Styela clava: one gene and its partners. The protein of the gene in region 1 interacts with the protein of each later gene in a pairwise test. Links are inferred from orthologs where the notes say so. Each region holds a gene or a part of one and is shown on either strand. Other genes may lie near its edges.

What was found.
Region 2: the proteins of GRIP and coiled-coil domain-containing protein 1-like (region 1) and ras-related protein Rab-39B-like interact in a two-hybrid assay, tested with the Drosophila melanogaster proteins (2 studies listed by BioGRID). The link is inferred for Styela clava from reciprocal best matches to the Drosophila melanogaster genes GCC88 and Rab39.
Region 3: the proteins of GRIP and coiled-coil domain-containing protein 1-like (region 1) and ras-related protein Rab-6A-like interact in a two-hybrid assay, tested with the Drosophila melanogaster proteins (2 studies listed by BioGRID). The link is inferred for Styela clava from reciprocal best matches to the Drosophila melanogaster genes GCC88 and Rab6.

Annotation. Positions count from the first base shown.
Region 1 is NC_135252.1:3,461,080-3,468,896, forward strand, and holds the start of GRIP and coiled-coil domain-containing protein 1-like, read left to right. Parts: upstream 1-4,773; 5' UTR 4,774-4,839; coding exon 4,840-4,927; intron 4,928-5,191; coding exon 5,192-5,325; intron 5,326-5,956; coding exon 5,957-6,056; intron 6,057-6,426; coding exon 6,427-6,611; intron 6,612-7,654; coding exon 7,655-7,744; intron 7,745-7,817.
Region 2 is NC_135250.1:29,957,232-29,964,227, reverse strand, and holds the start of ras-related protein Rab-39B-like, read right to left. Parts: upstream 3,116-6,996; 5' UTR 2,932-3,115; coding exon 2,734-2,931; intron 1,563-2,733; coding exon 1,453-1,562; intron 1-1,452.
Region 3 is NC_135256.1:11,597,054-11,604,274, reverse strand, and holds the start of ras-related protein Rab-6A-like, read left to right. Parts: upstream 1-4,198; 5' UTR 4,199-4,256; coding exon 4,257-4,320; intron 4,321-4,644; coding exon 4,645-4,703; intron 4,704-6,074; coding exon 6,075-6,128; intron 6,129-7,221. Other genes in the region: ankyrin repeat and MYND domain-containing protein 1-like, read left to right, coding at 1-76, 555-709, 1,028-1,295, 1,633-1,765. UniProt on the Drosophila melanogaster protein: Protein transport. Regulator of membrane traffic from the Golgi apparatus towards the endoplasmic reticulum (ER). Mediates membrane trafficking during egg chamber growth and organization, possibly upstream of exocyst component Sec5.

The DNA of each region.
Region 1 (7,817 bases):
GAATGAAAAGCAAAATTGCCGCGTCCCCTCAAAGTAAGGTAAAAATAGTGTCTGGCAGCAGCCGTCACGCTCCGATGGTTTGTTTGAAAGTTGTTAATGCTGAAGCAGTGTTTCCCAACCCGAGTCCGCGCTCTTAAATGAGTCCGTGGAGCGCTTGAATGAGTCCGCAACCAGCCAGAAATTCACTGCGTGCCGCAAACGCTTTTGCGAAACTCAACTATCAGCAAGTTATGATTTACGTTAGAATTTACATAAAACATAAAAAGCAAGTCCATTCACATAACATTAATCAAGTCAATAAAACTGGTTACTGAGTAGAGCAGGTCATATGGTCGAAAATTCAACTATTAAAATAAAAATTTGCCATTTGAAAATTTGGTAACAGGTGACGCGACGGGCCACTTGCGCGTCGCTTAATTGAACGATCGGATTTCACGACTCACTTGCGGATTTCCGACGAAAACACGATTATGCACACGATTCGATAGATACCTAAATGGTGTTTCGCGAGTTCGAACAACGAGGAATAAATTTTTTTTTGATGCTAAGTGTCGATGGTGGCAACCCAAATTTTCTAAATTGAAAAGCGGCAATACTAAAAATAAAACGGAGCACAACTCAAGTTTTGTCTTATGATGGACGGCGACCGATTAAATACGCCCTTTTAGACGTTACGAATCGCAAAATTTCGGGTGCTACCGTAGTAACGTACCAGTGTTGTACGAACAGCTCAGATTTGTCGAATTCACAAAAATACGAATCAAAACAAAATATAATCAGGCACTTTACCACGCATTTTTGTGTCCACGCATTGTCATGATATTTTCTGAGTTTCTACACCCGCAGATTAAAATGATCGCAATTAAATTAATAATAAAGCAACGCGATGAATATTTGATTCACTGATATACTTTAAATATATTTTTATTAAGTGCTAAATCAAGTTGTACTTTCTGGAAATTTATAGCAGATAGTAGGATTTTTCTAACGGCGATAACAAATTCGCAAGATCGCAAAAAATATGTATCCAAACTAAATAAAATCGGGCAATATATTCTCACATTATTATAGTCGCAGATTGACGTGCAATTTTAAAGAAGTAATGCTTTCATCTTGTCGTACGTGAGTCGACGCAACCGCGAGTTAACATGAACAAAATTGAATTAAAATAGAAGGACATTTTAAATTCTCGTCGTTGTCATGGATTGAATATTGTGCGACAGAAAATACCATTATTCACTAAAAAATTCGGCTCATTTACCGAACGCGTAATTGCGGCGAATTGCCGATTTTGAAATTTGTTAAAATTCTGTTGTGTTTGGTTTTATTGCTTTTTCACACAGAGTACGGTTGCAATAAACGCACATTGATTCCGCAATGGTTTTCGCCGGTGAGGAAATATTCCGCGACCAAAAAAGGTTGGGAACGCTGTGCTAAAGCATAGGAAGAATTTTTCGGGCGTCAAAGGTCTACGGTCTACTCTATAGGTTGCTGTCTTTGATGTTTATAATGCCACTCGACAGCTGGTCGTTGATAACATATGTAGTATACAGCAAATCCCATGTATACCATACCGGTACAGGTGAGGTGAAAACAACGACGTCTAGTGAACTATTGTCTCTCTGGCAGTAAACTTTACAGAGTGCTTTTCTAGGACTGTAGGATGAGGCTATGAGTGCTAATGGTGTGCGGATTCGCTAAAAACAGAATCCGAATCCGTCCGAAAATATTTCTGTTATTTCAGAATTCATCCGAATCCGGATTCCTTGGAAAAATATTCCGAAAAATTCCTTTATTTCGGGTAAAGATTTACAAACCTCAGCAAATTCCTCAGTGAATCATAACATTCTGCATATTCTATTTATACGCACAATATCAAGTTTAAACTCTGTGTAACAAAGAAAATCAGGTGAAAATGTGATATCGGGAACGACACACATGCTTCTGTGGCTTGATATAAAGCAATCCTGGGATTGATGGTCAAGAAATGTAGTGCAGATGAAAGTAATATTTCTTCTATAACGATTAAATCATGTTAACCTGCCATATTTAGTTACATGGAAGGTAAGAAGTATTCTGGGGAGTAACAAATAGTAATGCAATAATATATAAAATATTCCTAAAACGCTATCAGACTCCAGTCGCGTTGTCTGTGATACGATTGGAAATCACTCGCAATATGGAAACCAACATATCTCTATCATTGCTCTGATAATACTGTAATATGCTATTACCCATGCTACCAAAACTGATTACAAGAATATTAAGGTTCATTATTTGTGTACCTACATGATATAGAGTAGACCACATTTCAGCATTTTCAGTTAAATCATGAAATATGTAAAATTAAATAAAGCAAATTATGGCTTGCATCTGTCTGTCTGTACAGCTGTATATTCTGACATTGTGGATTTGCTGTTGATTGATCAATTTGGATTATCCCAAATGAACTGTAGTCGGGTAGTGCATAGTCAGATAGTGGACAATTCTACACTACTAAGTCAAATCAGGCATGACATTTAATACTCACCACCTTAACACAAATCCAAAAGGACTAACGGTACCCACCTTCAAGAACAACTTACAGAATAAACTCTGAAACTACAAGTTCAAAATTCAGCAAGTGCAAAAGCTAAAAAGTGCTGAATTCGAAAAGGATTCTCAAAACAATCATTCAAATAATACTCACATATTTGAATTCCGAAATGAATTTGAAAACAACAACTGGTAAATTCCTAACCGAACGGACTCTTTAGTTGTTCATGATAATAAAATCCTTCAAAAATTATACCAAAACACAAGACCGAAGCTTGTTCCTTTGCTTCGAGATATAGCAAACCATGACGAATCCTTCGCCACTCAAGGGTAGCAAACTAGCGAAGCCTTCCTGCAATGCCCAAAATTAGAAACGTGTGGTGACGGCAAAGAGTAGGACGGATAGACTGAAAGTTTATATCTTCAGTCAAAATTGAAAAACATATACAAATTAAATCGATTTCTTTCAAAATCCGGATAAATCCGGCGCAGTGTCCGATTTTGGAATCCGGATTCAATCCGGTAGCGAAAAAAAAAAATCATGAAATCCGGCCGGATTTCAATCCGGCGACCGGATTCTGCACAGCAACTCGACTACAAGGACAACTCGTCTAGCAGACTACAGAGAGTCCTGGTGAGCTGTCTGTCTTTTCGCATTTTCTACGGCGGTGTTTTAGGTTTATAGAAATGTGATTTTGATATTTTTAGGGTTAAAATGTTGAGAAAAATACATAAATATTCTCTAGAAAGCATTTTTATTTGTGTAAGTGGCTTATTTTGCTCATGTTATAGACGAATACAAATACAGTCTACACCTACAGACGAAATTGGAGTAACGTTAGCGAAGTTAGACTGTTGACTTATAGGCTAGAAGAGAGAGAGAGAGATTTATTGTTTTGTCAACCAGAAAACAAACAATGGTATACGAAAAAATATATACACTATACACATATTCAATTCGGTATAGACTGGAGCAGGGGTCTCAAACTCAATTTACTTGGGGGGCCGCTGGGGCAGAGTCTGGATGAATCCGGGCCGCATCAGGTTTTTTACAATAGAAGCTTAGCAACTCGTTTAAATTGTATTCCTTGTGCACTGCAACTTTAACTGTGCAGATAAAACATGTCGGGATGCTCCTATGCTCAACAAAGAAATATTGCATTTCCTAGTTATTTGAAATTGTCTCATCACCAACCTTTCTGTTTACTGAAACTTCACTTCCAACGACACGTTTGAGGATGTGCAAAATTATAAAATTCCATCTTGTTTCAATCAAGCATTCAGCCGCTGGACAGTGATGTTTCGCCACATGGGAAACATGGTTACAATGTATCAAGATAGTGATTGTGACGTCTAAAATCATGAAACACTGTTTTTAAATTATTTCAGACGGTCCCGACTCCCGCGATCGAATATCAGGCCTACAGGTATGGTACTGGTAGGTTACCGCACCACATATTCCTTTCAGGGGATAGATGATAAAATATTTCGTTTTGCCCTACGTGAGAGTTTCCCTTTTCGGCCACGGAACACTTACACTTTTTATATCGCCTCGCGGAACACCAAAAAATGAAAGGGTGAAATTGATTGACAAACTTTCAGCATTTGAAAGTAAAACCTGGTAGAGATGGAGGAAGAACGGTTGACCTTCTGCCTTTATTCTTTAGACTTACTTGTTTGTCTTCAACAAAACCAAAAGAAGTACTGTAAACTTGATAATGAAATTGACAGTCAAAAAGATAAACCGACGGTTAACAAAAATGCCACCACCCTAACTTAGTTAGTCCACTTTAGGTCGACGGTGACGCGATCTTAAACGGTCAGTTTGGCAACAACTTCATGATTCTCACATCGCCATGGCGACCAATTTAGATGTATTTTTTATCCTTTTTCCACGCAACACTCGGGAGATGTTCGCGTAACATTAGTGTTCCGCGGAACACAGTTTGGGAAACGCTGTTATAATGAAAGCATTAATCATGCTGAGCTAAGTGACTTGCGGCCGCACTAACATTAAACTATTTTACCAAGGCAGGGGCCACAAAATATCATCTCGCGGGCCACAAGTTTGAGACCCCTAGACTGGAGGGAGCGATACGACCATAATTTTGTGGTCGCTGGCTGATTACCTAGGGTCCTAGACTATCTGTCTTTGGTCGTATCGCCAACCCTTAGTCCATCCCAAAATTATGTGGTCATTTAGTCTATTTCTTAATCAATATGATTTTATATTTCTAGTGACAAAAAATAAACCATCTGTTACTGTAACATTATTGAAACAAATTTCAGAAGCAAGTTCTGAAGATGTTTAAATTTAATAAAAACGCTGAGTTGTTGGATACAATAGAAAAACAGAAAGCACAACTTGGTCGTTATGAGAGTCGCTTGCGAGGTTTGTTGTATATATTCAATGATTTCCTTTCTTTAAGCAGTTCTACATAGAAGAAGATTAAAATGCTATATGCTGATATGAATGCTGGAATACCATAATATACAGATATTTGGAAATATGGTATCTTAGCCTGAAACTCTATATTAATCATATCTGAGTTTTTTTAACCTATTCTTTATTTACCTAAGTCTGTAAGTGTATGTTGTCGCTACAGCTATGAGCAATATCAAATTGCACAAATAAAATTAATTATTTTTATTTTAGATTTGGTTTCTGCTTACAAAAGTCTGCAAAATGAAAAGGAAGCGTTAGAAGCAAGTGTCAAAGCATTGTCATCATGTCATGCGAGTCCTAGTCTTGGAAGAAAGTCAAAGCCTAGTCTAGGATCCAAACCGTTGGTATGTAGCAAATGTTTAACAATCAATTATTTGCTAGCTCAAATAGTAAAATACAAGTGTATATTTTTTTATATTTTTCACTTAATGAATCAATTAGCTGATGGTTTATTGTTTGATAATGATATATGTTATGGCCATTCAATAAATAGGCTACAATATTTCAGTGGGTCAGTAATAGTAATGATCATGATAAATGGCATCAAAGGTAACATATGATGAAAATGTTATTAAGATTTAAATTGAATAAATAATGAAATGAAATTTTGGCCTCTATTTCCTTGGGGAAGAATTCTGCAATTTCACTTGATGAGTTTAGAATACCTATCAGTGACCTTACCCAAGCTGGTTTCAAGGGTTAAATTTTGGATATAATCGAAGTTGCATATTGGCCAATGAACAGTATGCTGTTACATACGAGTCTTAGACTAATAAAATTTGATGTAGTTCGTTTGCTCCAAAAATTTTGCTTAAAGTAATGTGTTATCACTGAAATTATGTGTGCATATGGAGAAAAAAAGGTCGTAGAAAAAAGAACAAAAAAAAAGATTATACACCGGCTTTAAAAGTTCCAAAAGGGTACATATCAATAAAACTAGAATGAAAAAAATTTCAAACTATAATTGAACCTTAGTTGGTGGGGCCAACAGGACAAAATTCACTTGATGTTGATGATCAATCAAGCGCCAAACACGATGCCACGGAGAAAGATGATGATGTTCCAGAAGAGAAAGGTTTGGTGATTGTTGTGTGAATATTTAGTTCGTTTTACTTTTAATTATCTATGTGACATGGTTTTTTGTAACTTTTGTTGGTTGGGACTCACACTTTGTACATGTTTTGTTTTGTATGCACCTATCTATATCCTGGAACAATTAACTTATTAGGTATCATTTGAACTATTAAACGAATGGGATATAATTTGCATACTATTGTAGGCTATTATGTGATAAATTTTCTGATACATATCTGAACTAGTTTATCTTCTATGATTTATGGGGTTCATATAGAATGGCTGTATAATATTATGTTTCAGATTTAATTCATATCATTGAAGTTGAAAATAAATTCATATCAATTTGATTCAAAACTGTATACCTTTAGAGAAGGAAAATTCTGCATCTGATGTGTCACACCAAGATGAGGCTGAAGGTGAAAATGATTCAACAGTTGAAGAATTGAAAAATTTGCAACATCAAATTGCAACACTAACAATGTCATTGTCTACTGTCACTGAGGAGAAATCAAAGATAGTTGCCACATACCAGGCTGAAAAACGAAAACTGAAGGTTTGCTATAAGTATAGTCTTGAAAATCCTTTGTTTTGTTTATATTTTCAACCTTTGTACATTTGACATTGTTGAGTTGTTTCATACAATTAAACAAAAATTTATTCGAAGGAATAGGAATATGTTGGCTGAATGGATGTGTGAATGAATATATCGCCACATTAAAACCAATCTAGCTTATGTCTCATTTCTCAGAAATGAATTTTTTTTTATCTTCTGTCATTATTTCCCAGCCATCTAATGGTCTGGGTTTCAAAGCTGTATCAGTTTTAGTTTTGATTTTAGATAGTAGTGCCTTTTATCCAATCATAGGTTTGGCTCTACAGATCTAAAAATGACAATAAAATCTATCTTCTTAAAATCTAAAAATGTGCTAATTTAATTCTCCTGTGTCGATATGCACAGGATTTGGGAGGCAGTTACTGAATAATAATGAATTGACGAATTGAATAATTATTACGCTTAGAAATCTTGCATTGTAGATAATATTCTATAAATTATTGGTATTTTGTTATAATTGTTCGCACACTAAACTGTGTCAATTTTAGTGTTCTGTGTCCTTTTTTCACAAAAATACAAAAGCCTTGGCATTTTTGAATTAGATTCTTCATCTAAAATTGCATGTCCAGGCCTCAGAATATTTTGTCCGGTATGGAGTAATTTGTTTATAAACATCTCTAGATAGTGGCATTTTATATAATAGAAGTGACAAAAATAAACCAGAGTGAAGCCAACTAGCATGTGAGACCATGCAGTCACTGATCCCTCAGAGTGACCACCGCTGCGACGCAAAATCTAGCTGTAAAGTCTGTAGCCCTTTCGAAATTTTCTGACATAGCATGGGAAAAGAAATACTCTTGATCATTCATCTAAACTCTGATAATGTGTAAAGCTGTGGATTTGAGATCAATGCTTTGTTGAATTGTTGCCATTCATTTGATTGGGTAAAATCTTACTAACCAGAATCTAAATACTAAAGCTACATCATGTTGGTAAATAATCGTTGTCTATTTGTGATTGTCAAAATGACCTTGTTTCAACAGCAAGAAACTGATACACAGTTATTAGAAATGAGAGAAGAGTTGGGAGATCTCAGAAAAAAGAATCAGGAATTGGAAGAGGAATTTAATATGGTAAAAAATGTTATTTATGAATTGTGATATATGAAGAATTTAAATAATTAAAAGTGTTTTACGTTATTGACAA
Region 2 (6,996 bases), on another chromosome or scaffold:
CATCATGATGAGTGTTAGGAATACGTTCCCCACCGCAACTCTGATCACCCTGCAAGAAGTTTGCTGGATAAAAAAATCATGACAGGCTTCAAATATGTAGGGGAAAGTGGAGAGGTATGGGCCACCAAACTTTGGAGGGCTACAACGCTTTGGCCCTTTGAACTAAATATTCACTCTTTTACCCACTGAATGTTTAACAAAACAGCTAACTATTCCCAGCATTGTTTTGGAGTTTTCAAAAGTAGTTTTGGAAAAAAATGTATTTTTCCACAAAAATATAATTTACACAAAATTTTTTTATCATTTGAGGTATGGGCCAGGCAGTGTCAAGTATGGGCCACCATCAAAAAACTAAAACCCAGTGCTTATTGTGAAATACAACTTTACTCAATCCCAAACCCCATAAGTAAACATAGTTTCTACAATCAATAAAGCTGTTTTTTAAATAAAACATTGGTAATATGCAACAAAATTATCACCAATCATAGAATAGCCAGTATTCATATATATCCTGGAAATTTGCAGCACAGCTTTGTCTCATTTGCATTCACAGTCCCCATAAATTTGTATGTCACTGCTCTGTCTCTAGTGAGTGCTGGATCTTTAAAACAGCAGACAACATTATCCAAATCTATTTCAAAGATGTCACTTTCCGAGCTGTCTAACAATGCTACTGTTAAATCACTGTTAACGAATTATATGATTATTCCTGTCTTCCCGCTTTTTTACCTTGCTTTACTTTTTTTCTTAATTGCTTCTTCTTAATTAAAATCTTTTCTATCTGCTTTTGCGAGAGTTGTACTTTTGGACGGGGGCTTTTGGCAATGACGTATAATTTCTGGGGAAACGACCATTCGTGATGATCCAGGCAGGTCATCTGATTTGGCAGAAGATATACATTGCATTGCAGAAACACGAAAGAATGGCGAAAACTAAAGACATTCTCATTAGATACTACATTTCCCTAGGTCACTATCATCGTTTATATTGATTAACACGACTACCGACATGGTATGGCAGGCCCATACCTAAGCATCCAAAATGGCCCATACCTCAGGCACCCTTCCCGCCATGTTTTCAGACAAAATTTGATTACAAAAAAAGATGAGCTGTTTCATCCAACACTTTCTTTAACAGGACCAAGACACAGGTTCCTAGGCCTTTGACAGATTTTATTAAAGAACCACAACTGATCGTGCTATCCCAATTATTCTAATTTTTCAAAAAAAAAGCTTTTCTACGAGAAATCACTTAGTACCTCATAGCTGAGACACCTTGTAAGCTGCTGACCTGCAAATAACATGTGTTATTTGGTGGGACCTATGCAATAATCACACCAAGTTACAGGTGATTGGGATATTATAAAGCTGTTGAACTTCCAATGGCCCATACCTCAAGGTGGCCCATACCTCTCCACTTTCCCCTACTTACTACTGTATTATTCAACATTACCTGAATCTTTCTTGTCCAGCAGTGTCCCATAACTGTAATTTAATCCTTATTGAAGGAGCAATTTCAATCAATCTGGCGTAGAAGTCGACACCCACAGTGGGGTCGGAGATCTAAGAATTTAAATTACAAATATCATAGCCTATATCAGGGGTGGGCAACATACGGCTCGCGGGCTGGGTCCAATCAGCGACGAGATTTTGACCGGCCCGCTGACTGTACATCAGTACATTATGATATTACACTTTTAGTAGATTATGATAAATTCATTATGTGTTTTTTGGTCTCTATTTTTTCGTGAAGTTTAAACTTTAAACCTGATTTATAAATTTCTCTCTTGCAATAGCGAATAAATATATGATTAAAATATTGAATACTATTCATGTAAAAATACGGCCCAACGTGGACTTCTTTTTCCCACATCTGGCCCGCCGACTAGAAAAGTTGCCCACCCCTGTCCTATATGAATCAAAAAATGGTCACTTTCTCACGTATTCAATGCTAACCTACATCATTCCAATCAATATTCTACAACTTTTATTTTTAAACCAATTTCAATTTGCCCCTTTCTCTATGAAACAACACGAAAACAATGACAGGCAAAAACGTATAAAGGGGGTTTAATAGCATACAGCTTTACGGTACAATATTATAGTACTGTTATCAGTGGATTCTCCTGTTCAGCCACAATCGTTTTTAGAGTGCGAAAAAATTGAAAACAACGCACCCATGCAAATTTTCGGGGTCTAGTATAGTTTAGTAGCACAAGTACTTCCAGTGGGCGTAGCATAACAAATTTGGCATATGTTATTCTTAACCCCCACCTGACTATTCCATCCAAAAGTTATGTCACTCACTACGACGTCATCATCACGTCATATGACTTGCCAAAGACAATTACGATCGCCCAAAATGATATCTGCGCTGCCGATAACGAACTCGCTAAAGTTCGATAACGAACTCGGCGATCTCTCTCCTATTGCCTATCGTGATCGTTGTGAGGAGAAAACGAGAGAATAGCTTGCTCCATTTCGGGTGATCATCTGCGCATTTTTGACGACCATTCGCATTCTTTGGTAGGCAACATTACGCCACTGTGACGTCGAAAAGACGTAATTTTTCGGTGACGAAGTCAAGTGGGGGTTAGGATGGACATATGCAAAAATTGTTGAGCCAGGCCAACTAGAAGTGCATGTCTGCATGTGGTACCAAACAACACACCAATGCGAATTTTCGCATCAAAGTATTATTCAAATTGGGGACCTTTATACACAATCAATTTACCTCTAAAAAATCTCCATCGCTAAATCTCCTTAACAGCGCTGATTTTCCTACAGTAGAGTCTCCAATCAATACAATCCGAAATTGATAAGACCATATCGTTTCCCCTCTAGACGGGGACCCATTCGGTTGCTGCTGCACGTCTGCCATCGAAAAAGTCGGTCCACAACAGCCTAAACTAAGTCTTTGTGCCGCCCTCATGCACGATTATTCTTTATTTTAAAGAATTAATAAGTTTTATCGGCGCACACAAACAGGTAAAGCAGCGCCACTGATAATACGTGACATGTTTTACCAATATCTTACGATAAATCGTTTCATTATTGATGACTGCACAAACTACACAGATGTTGGACTTTGCGTTGCCAGATATTTGAAAGCGATTGCTCCGAATAAAATCCTCTAGTATTAGATATTAGATATAAAATTTAAATATGAGTGTTTACTGTAATTTATGACTGACATACTACTGAATAATATATTTATGGAGTTGGATGATATACATGTAATTTGTAGTAATGAAACACTGTTGAAAATCTTTTATACTTCTGGCAACTTGAATCTTTGTTATTGATTTTCAGTTGTGGAGTTGAAAATGTGAATGCCAAAAAGTTTTGTTTTAATGTAGAATTCTTTGCGGTAGAATATGAACTGAGATTAAACCAGTGCAAAATAGCATGAACGTCAATTAAAAGTCTACATAATGTTCAAGATTGAATAGTGTCTGTTCCCCTAAATTAAAATTTGCCACCTTGTGGTGGTTCCGTAAAAGCATATCGGCGGATCTCGTGCTCTGCGAACGTCGATGGACCGCGTGCAAAAGTTTTTTATGAAAAACGCGAGACTGCAGTACCTGATCTGGTAATACAGGCGTGACTTGATTCAAGTATTTCAATTCACGCTGGAACAGAATCATGAAGGATGCATCATCGCCACATGATCTGGAAAAGCTACGACAGTCCTCGTACCGTTACTTCTATCCCTGGCAATCGAGTTGTCTCTGGTTATTTAGCCGTGTAGTCGAGTTGTTAGTTCTCCGATACGGCTACTGGTAGCGGTCTTACTACTTACTGAATACAGCGCGAAACACCGCAAAGAGCGCAAAACAGAGGGAAACATCGCAAAACAGTGGGGGAACAGCGCAAAACAGGAGCGAAAGAGCGCAAAACAGAGGGAAACAGTGTGAAGCAGAAAAAAATTTTGCAATGAGTTCGGGGCACCTTGTTTTGAGTTGGAGTACCACGGCAGCAAATTAAAAACACAAACCAACGTATGTAGCCAGTAATGCTGTAATGGCAGGTCCGCCCCTGCTGGTGACACATTTTGGGTACCATAATTTAGAACATTTTCCATATGGATATGGTTGGCTTTAGGGTTAGGTAGAAAGGGGCCTCCAGAAGTATGTGCACCAAGATGGCGCACAACCTGAAAATAGTGTGTGTGTGTGTGTAGCGGGTTCAGGTTGTGCGACATATTGCTGCACATACTTCTAGACTCTAGAGCAGGGGTTCTCAAACTTTTAGTGTTGCGGAGCCCCTGAAAAGGTTGATTATTATTCGCGGAGCCCCAAAAGAAATGTCAAAATTGTAGCTTTCCGATAAATATTCCTGAGTAAGTTAAAAGTACTTAACTTAATTTAAATGCTAAACCTTTTTTTTAATGGGGTTAATGCAAGTCATAAATAAATCAAAATTTTAAAGATAAATTATATATACTCTTACTAAAGCTGTAAATTTGACACTTGACAAACATATTGATAAACTAGGGGTCGAATCTTTTCCCTTTTGAAATTTTCGGAAGACTCAAAAGGCCGCTATTAGCGTGCGCGATTGCATTTTGTTACAATCACCGATAGTTTTCGTCAGCATGGCATGTTTTTAAACATCTTTACGCCGGTGTTCATTCTCCCTAAATCAAAAATTTTCTTCGGCATATACATGTTTTGTTTCACAATGACGACGATAATTGCTTTTTTGTCCTCGTGGGGAATTATGAGTTCAATGTGAAAAATTTGTTACCATATAGTCATCGGCGACGAAATGCTAAAAATAATAATTAAGAATAAAGAGGTAAATCCGCAACTCAAATTTCTTGATTGAAAAACGGCATTCTAAAATATTAAAACTTAAAATAAAAGATCACACTATAAGTTTGGTTTTAGCAGACTCACGTCAGATTAAAAACGCTCTTATAGGCATTGTAAATCACAAAATTTGGTGTTATGTTGGGTTTTCTTTGGTTATTCATCGTATATATAGTACCTGCGAAATCGAAACACAGTCAATTGTGTGCGCGATTTACCTTTTTTTATTCTGAAACTACCGACGGAGCCGCATGCAAAATAAATTTCAATCGTATTTTGCCCAGATCTTGTGATTTTTTAAACGGCGATATCTTGCTTAATAATAATCTCGAGTGCAAAAGAACAAATCAAGTTTGACAAATTCCAAGATCGCAAAAATACGACTCCAATTTATTTATAGTTGGCAGTTTATCACGTATTTTATGTTATTTTAGAATAGTATTCTTTCATTTTAGTAATCCTAATAGTAATCTCGAATGAAACTTGTGTAACTATGAGTACAATTGAATTATTACGACAAGACACTTTAAATGCTCGCATCGGCCATACATTGAATATTTTACGCAACACAAATCTCGTTATCCATTTTTTATAATCGCAAAGAATGGTGCGCGGAAATTTCCGATTCAAATCCCCACCTCTTGAGAATCCTGGCTGCGCTCCAGCTTATAAATAATGTCATTTTTTAATTCCGCCTCTTTGCCATATTTCGAGGCTATATTGTTGTCAAATTTTATCAAAGCTGTTATTGCTTCTTTGAACAGTTACAAAACTAGTCATTATTTTGAAAAGTAATCGAATAGCTCGCGGAGCCCCTGGGTTTCTCTCGCGGAGCCCTGGGGCTCCGTACGGAGCACTTTGAGAACCTATGCTCTAGAGCAGGGGTTCTCAAACTTTTGGTGTTGCGGAGCCCTTAAAAAGGTTGACTATTATTCACGGAGCCCCATAATAAATGTTAAAATTGTTACTTTCCGAATAATATTCCTGAGTAAGTTAAACGTACTTTTACTCAATTTAAATACTAAACACTTTTATTAGGGTCAATAGAAGTCATAAATAAATCTCGTGGGGAATTATGAGTTCAATGTGAAAAACATGTTACCATATTATAATCATCGGCGACGAAATGCTAAAAATAATAGTTAATAAAGAGGTAAATCCGCAATTCAAATTTCTTGATTAAAAAGCGGCATTCTAAAATATTAGAACTAAAACTTAAAATGGAAGATAACACCATAAGTTTTTGTTTCAGCAGACTCACGTCAGAATAAAAACGCTGTTATAGACATCGTAAATCATAAATTTGGTGTTATGTTAGGTTTTCGGTTATTCATCGTAGTAACTGCGAAATTGAAACACAGTCAATTAATTATGCGCCTGGTGTACCATTTTTCCTTTCTGAAACTACCGACAGAGCCGCATGCACTAAAATAAATTTCAATCGTTCGTATTTTGCCAAGACCTTGTGATTTTTCAAACGGCGACATCTTGCTTGAAAATAATCTCGAGTGCGAAAGAACAAATCAAGTTTAACAAATCCCAAGATCACAAAAATACGACTCCAATTTATTTATAGTTAGCAGTTTATCACGCAGTTTATATTATTTTAGAATAGTATTTTATCATTTTAGTAATCCTAATAGTAATTTCGAATCGAACGTGAGTAACGATGAGCACAATTAAATTATTACGACAAGACACTTTAGAATTTAGATGCTCGCATCGGTCATGAATTGAATATTTTAGGCAACAGAAATCTCGTTATCCGTTTTTTTTAATTGCCAAGAATGTTGCGCGTAAATTTCCGATTCCAATTTTGAACCTCTTCCCTCTTAAGAATCCTGGCTGCGCTCCTGCCTATAAAAATAATGTCATTTCTTAATTCCGCCCCTTTGCCATATTTCGAGGCTATGTTGTTGTCAAATTTCATCAAAGCTGTTATTGCTTCTAGGAACAGTTTTAAATTAGCCAAGTCAGTATTTTGAAAAGTAATCGAATAGCTCGCGGAGCCCCTGGGTTACTCTCGCGGAGCCCTGGGGCTCCGTACGGAGCACTTTGAGAACCTATGCTCTAAAGCACCAAAAAGGTAGATAAAATTTCGCATGATGACCTATAATCCGGTACATAACCTTGTAAATTTACCGGAAATAGCGCCATAAAACCATGGCGAATGGCGCCGTGGT
Region 3 (7,221 bases), on another chromosome or scaffold:
TTTTTTCTCAACCAGATAAGCAAGTTAAACCTGTAAAAAAATCAATTAAAGGAAGGTCAGGTTCAGGTCCGATTAGGTGAGATTGTATCTCTGTTCTTTGTTGTCATTTTTCATTCGATTCGCAGGCTGTAGTTGATCATTAGTGCAATAAAATTTGAAACTTTACAATATATAGGAATGAGGCATTTGGACATCTCTTCAATTGGGCGGATACGATCTTTTTTTTTAAATAATTTTATCTGATTAATTACCGTAGGATAAACAACATACTTTTTATAATACTTTTGAAAATAGAAATTTCAACAATTCTTTGCAAATTGAGTATTGGTTGATTATACTCATTCCCCACAATCCATGTTATGACAAAACAACAAGGTTCTAAATGAATCTACAATAATTCAGAAATACTTTTTCATTTTTTGCAATGAGTAAAAAAGGAATTGAAAAATTTGGACAAAGACAATGTTGGCTGATTTATATTTGGCATAGGAGAATAGACCCTTTCTACCCAATTTGTAAAATTCAATGCTTGATTCAATTTCAATCCTTTTCAGAAAACCCCTTTTTCGTTATTGTTATGAATGTGGTCGATCTGTTGGTGTGCGTTTGACAACATGTTCTAGATGTCGTGAAGTTTATTATTGCAGTAGATCCTGTAAACTAAAAGCCTGGGAAGAACGACACAAGGCTGAATGTCTTCGTATAAAAAGTATGTGACATGTTGCAATTTTTTTCTTAATAATATAGTTTCGATCCTTGATAGATTTGTTGTTTAGGATAGGATATACATATTTATCCCGAGGAAGAAAGGCGATAAGGCGGCTTAACCATACAGCGCCGAGAAATCCAGCAATCCTCTTGCACATAACCATCCCGCATGGGATTCGAACCAATGCAGGGTAAACAGAGGTGCGGTGATACGCCTAACGCTTAGCACGATGCGCCACACCCTCGAGTCGTTAACTTGTTTGAAAACTGATTAATATATTTTTTTTCCAGTCTTCACATTACACCCTTTTATTTTCAGATAAGAGAGAACAGTCCTCCCCATCTGCAAATGAAATTGCTTCTTATTTTACAATTCACACTTTGAAAGAAGCAATTGAAAATGACCCAACAAGCAACAGCATGAAAATATTACCCAAAAACATAGTCACTAACACGGAGTTCATGCCAAGATCTAAATCTGGTAGAACTACTTCAAGTCATCTCAAATTTGGTAAAACGAAAGGAAAGCCAAGGAAGAAGACTGCTTCATCACGATCCACAAGTGTTCTCCAGCCTTCAACTGGAAAGTATGTAATGATTATGTGAAATGATAACATCATCTTTGATTGTTATTATTCATTGTATTCACTGCCAAATTTTTTTTGTATATTATATGAAGTGCAGCCTAAAGTGTAGGAAAAGACAAATATGGCTGAATAAACATATTATACTTTGGAAACGGACGTTTCTACATTCATAACCGCACATTTTATCTTTACCAATTTAATTTTATCGAAAGCTTCCAGAATCAGTAACTTCAAAGATGTTACTTTTTGTCAGTCACTGAATATATATATTGAATATACCATAATGTCTCAAATCACTTATTTTTCATCCGTATTCAACTGTAATTATATTACACAGATCATTACTGCCGAGTCGCAGGGCTCATGTGGGAGAGATTCTGCAGTCAAAAGTTGGAAAAGCAGTTTATTTTGGAACAACAGGAATGACGTTGGCTGAACTTGGAATTAAAGAGAACTACAGCTTTGAATGAGTGACATCACAATGGTGTTGGCTATTTTGTTTGTTGTCAATTTGATATTCAATATTAATAATTGATTTACTGTATAACTGTAGGAGGATCATTACATTTTGAGTGTTTCATCGTCTCATAAATAAAAGAGTTAGTTTGGTGAAGGAGGTGCCACATCTAACCATATTTGCCTTGATGACTGTGTTTCACAAGATATGTAGTTGGTGACACATTCTTACATTGTTCACAACATTTTGGATTTTAAAAAATCCGTTGGGTTTTCTTTATATCAGTTTTGTTATAAAATTGCACAATAGCAACGACAATTGAGGCTCCTATATTTTAGTTTGTTGCTTAACTCATAGCATCTCATCTGTTGCTTGCATTATGCTTTAGTGCGTCCCTACTTTAAAAATAAATAATGATACTTGAACATGAACAAATGCAATAGTCCAAGACAGACACCACTGTAGTTGTAAATCAAATTCCATGACAATATTTAATGTTGATGGGAGAACCAAACAATTTTGTAAAAGCGTATCAAATTTATAGAATTTTACAGTAATTAATCTTTTCAAGAATTATTTTGGTCTTTATTCAAAAACTCGGCCTTTTCCAAAGTAAAAATAGATTGCTGTCGTTTCTCTTGATATTGTTATATTTTCGTATTGAAGTTCCAATATTATTGCTTTATTCTAGTTTTTAACAAATGTTTTTGTATAAGAATTTATTCAACTTCGCTTCATTAGATGCCAAAGCATACTTTTTATGCATCCAACACATTTGTACTTGCAATTAATAGTTTTAATTTAATGTATATTTATCTGCATAAATCTGTTGCTTGTTTAGTTTTGCGACATTTAGAATTTTTATGTACATTTTTACAGAGAAAATATAATCGTAGTTATTCATTGAACTGCCTATTCTTTTATAAAAACCAGTTGGACGGGAATTCGCATCTATATAACCAACGACATTAAACAACTGTCAAAGCAGGCACGAACACCATTCGTGCTATGCCTTGAAAGCAGCACACATCCGCTCGTTTTCGTCTCGTCAAGTATGTGCATTGGAGCGTGCTATCGGATACAATCTTCGGCTAAAAATGCCGGAGTTGCGCATCATGTTGCTTAATATCATTGGTATAACGCATTGCAATTAACACAATAACTAGTAGTATCGTTTTAGCCCAGAGGAAGACCAACAAAACGAATAAATGCCACTGTATTCTGAACACTGATGGAGTTAGCTAGATTACCAAAGTGCGCTTGTATCGTGCGTTGGCGTTTAACTTCTAAATGGCATTGCAAATGTATTTAAATTGTGTTCCCCACCAAGAAGGACTGACCCAATGCAATTTTTTGCGACTTCTGATGAAAAATCTTGAAAAAAATAGTCACGCTTGAGAGACGGCCATCATAATCTTTTCGCATCAGCAAAAATTACGCCAGGTGGTGACGTAATCGCGGCTACGGATGCATTGGAATTCAGATTTTGTACTTTGTTCGAACGTGAATCATGTGCTTTTTGATAATTATTTCGTTGTAAATTGATAATTTGTGAGACCAAATATGATATATAGTCAATAGTAGGAACATGTGCTCTGGTATGGTTTGTATGTGTACCTGGGTAATGGGTATATGACTACACATTACACGTACCGTAACTTATCGGTACCACCGTAGACCTGTAAACTCTGTATTACTACTGCTGTACTGTACTATGGGTGTTGAGTTTCATGATTTCTCGTCTTCATTTTTTGTCAACCTCAAGTGGAAAGTTCTCAAGAATCTGGGGAAGCTACTCAATTGCTTGTATCTCTTTTAATTAAAGGGATAGGATTTTCATATTTATTGGTGAAAGATGTACAATACTGCGATATTACAATGTATCATAGGGCAGATCAACTCTCGTTTTATTGCCAGTCTTGGTTAGGATGTTATGAGAATGAGGTTGTTACCCATTCTATCTAAACTGGAAATTGATTCCTCCTGCTGTAACACGTTTTCTCAACACTTTTTCCCAGATAAGATCATTTTGAATCGGTCAAGTTTAAAGTTTGTCAGTTGTCTTTTGACAAGCGTTAATTTGGGATTCACTTTTGTCAGTTTTCTTCTTATTTATCTTCACGAACATACTAAGCATTCTTTTATATATAAATTACATAAAATGTGTTGCTACACAAATCTATTATCTGTCTTGATTGTTGTTCTTTCAGCAAATTTGATAGAAACTAGTTGCAACTTTCAGTATAACATTGTCATTCTAATCACCGGTAACCACTTATTATTCTGCAACTTATGGGCAATGAATTTGTTTCATCAATAGATGCCAAAGCCAAATAATCTACCATACTATTTAATATAGTATAAACTTGAGAATTTTCTATAGCACAATTATAAGTTACCTTCAAATGTTTATACCGATAAATTCACGATAAAATTCTTTTAAATTCTTCGTATGACAGAGTCTTATTAATATAATTAAAGTTTATTATCTATTTAATATTAAAATGACGAGCGATTTTGGGAATCCGTTACGGAAATTTAAGTTAGTGTTCCTGGGTGAACAAAGTGGTGAGTGTGTTATTTCTGATAAGAGTTTTGTCACATTATAAAATATTTTTAAAATGTCATAAAATCACTCTAATTAATGTGTTACTACTAAATAAGAATATTCATTATTTATGGCTTAAAAATGAAATCCCGTTTTTTCTCATTTATTAGATTTGTAGTTTTTTTCAACTTTTCATCATATCCTTTATCTTTGATGTACTTTATTTGTGTTTATTTTTTATGCAAAAGTTTAAATTAAAGCTAGGTAGTTCTTTTGGATTATTACTAGGATTATGACAAAATAATGTTATTTTGCATACTAATCTTATATTATTAATTTTACAGTGGGGAAAACATCGCTTATTACAAGATTTATGTATGACAGTTTTGATAACACGTATCAGGTGATTATTGTTGTAAAAAAAAATTGTACCGGTAATTCTTATAAATGTAATCTCAGCTGATTGAGACCAATGGTGCTGGGTGGTGAGTCTGGTGATAGTATGATGAACATTTACTGTCAACTTGGGCGTTAACAATCATAACTAACAGTAGATGCCTCAAATTTTTGCCTCGACGAATTGTTGAATAGTTTTTTATTATAAAAAGTATTCATTAATGGCGGGATATACCTATGAAAAAAGTTTTGAAAAGATAGTAGATGCATTTTCTATTGTATTGGATGTCAAAAGTTGAATATTCAGAATTCATCATTTTTAAGATTTACTTTCTCTTAAAAAAATTATTATATTCATGAGGAAAATCGAGGATTGGCGATGAGTAGGGAAATTCTTTTCACGATTTCTCTTCACTTTCGCAATGAACTTCTTCACTATTGAATAGATTTTCAGTTTTAAAAAATGTATTGAGCACGTGATTTATTTTCGTTACACATAAGGAGTTGACAATAACTTGAATATAAAATGATGATAATCAGGCCTGAAAATCTTCTAGCACCATTGGTTCTGGAAATTGTAGCATATTGTGAATAATATTATTATATTTTATGAATTTTCAAACAATATTTTTTGTCAGATTGCTTTCTGGAGTCTAATAAGATTTTGCTCATTACTCCAATAACTGATAAATAGTGGTAAATCTTGATTTGTTTGCGGTCTTAGTGTGTTAACACTACAGTGCTAAAATTTTATTTTCAATATCAATTTAGTTACTCTTTTCTGTTAACTTATGCTGCTTTTCGTGTTTTATTTTAACGCTTTCATGGGCATCATTGCTTGACCAAGTCTAAGGTACAATATTTGTTAGCTTCATGCATGAGAACAATACTGTATGGCCCACTCTCCCATCATCTTTCTATCTGATTTGCTAGAATCGCAAAAAATTGATCAGTATTTCAACTGGCCTACAAATTAAAAAATGTAGCAGGCTTTGGACATGGCATAATTTTTTATACGTCTGTCTTCAAATAGGTTCAATTTTTGGCTTCCTCAAGTTTTATCTTGATAAATTAAATAAAGATGTTTTGTACAACTGTGTTGTTTTTTAATACTGGATAATTGTAGATCATCAAAGTCTAAATCATAATTCACCCATGGGAATCTAAAGCGAGTAAAACAAACCGTCACATGAAAATGGAATTCCCTGTAATGTTTGGCTCATACACGTTGTATCTTTGTTTTGTCTGATTTGCATGTATGTTAGGCACTAAGACCGCTGTCTTGAATAAAATCAATTTTTATGTAGAGATCGCAGTAGTCTTTTTTACCACTTTCACTTCTGACTTTTGTCTGAATTCAAAACTTATTTTGTTGCAGGCCACAATAGGAATTGATTTTCTTTCAAAAACAATGTATTTGGAAGACCGAACGGTAAGAACCTACATTCAGCATTTAGAATCGTAAATTAGGCAAAATATTTTTATTGAAGGGTCTTTTTTGTTGAAATAATTCCAATGAAGATTAAAAAAGGAGAATCAGCCTATTTAAAGTTCTCAAATTGTTTAGATATAGCATGCTGTTACACAGAATAACATTAGGTTATAAATATCAACGGCCATACAAAAAAATTATACCTATTGTGCAATAAGGATGAGGGTGATTCAAATCTTACTCAAACATACAAGTCTAGACATGGTGCCATCAATCACATCAGTCTTCCTGAACTGGTAGATTTTTTGTATAGGAAAGATGTTGCTTTACGTCTAAGTAACATTACCAAAGTGTTTATTGATTGGTATATATAGAAGATATAGATATATAAAAATACACAAATTTTAGGAATGTGGTTTTCAATACAAACTCAGAACAGCTAGCAACTGTCATCCGTTATAATATCTAAAATCCTGTTAGTGACTTTAGATTTTCTCCAGGTCATATGAAAGACATACCTAAAATGAGTCTTATCTCTATACCTAAAATAAATATTAGAAATTTTCTCTAACCAATCCAACCATGTAATAGAGATGCCTATTTTGAAAAGTTGTTTGGTAGTTGGTTTGAATTTTCTTCGTTACAAATTTTAGCTTGCCATATCAGTAATAATCACATTTGTGAAAGAAAAGGAATTCGTATACAGTGATATCTCGGTGTTACTCATTCTTGACAAATATTACAAGAACAAAATTCTGCCTACCTTTTATAAATTGACATTGTTTGTGTTTTGGTTATTCTCAACTTTGGTAAAATGAAGTCTAATGGTGAAAATACTGTTAGTAAAAATGGAGTGTTTTTGTTTTAATATGGAGCCTGATAATATGTAATCAAATAACTGGAAATTGACTTTATTGTATTTTCGACGTTTTGTCTTCCCAGAGGAAAAGATAGACTAGACGTTCGTAGGTCATGTTCAATATTTCGATATCTGTCTGGGCGTTTTTAGACTCGGTAATTGAACGAATGCACAGTCAACTTAATAGCCTAGAAATTCCTACCAGACGGACTTGCTATGAATAATTCAAAAGTC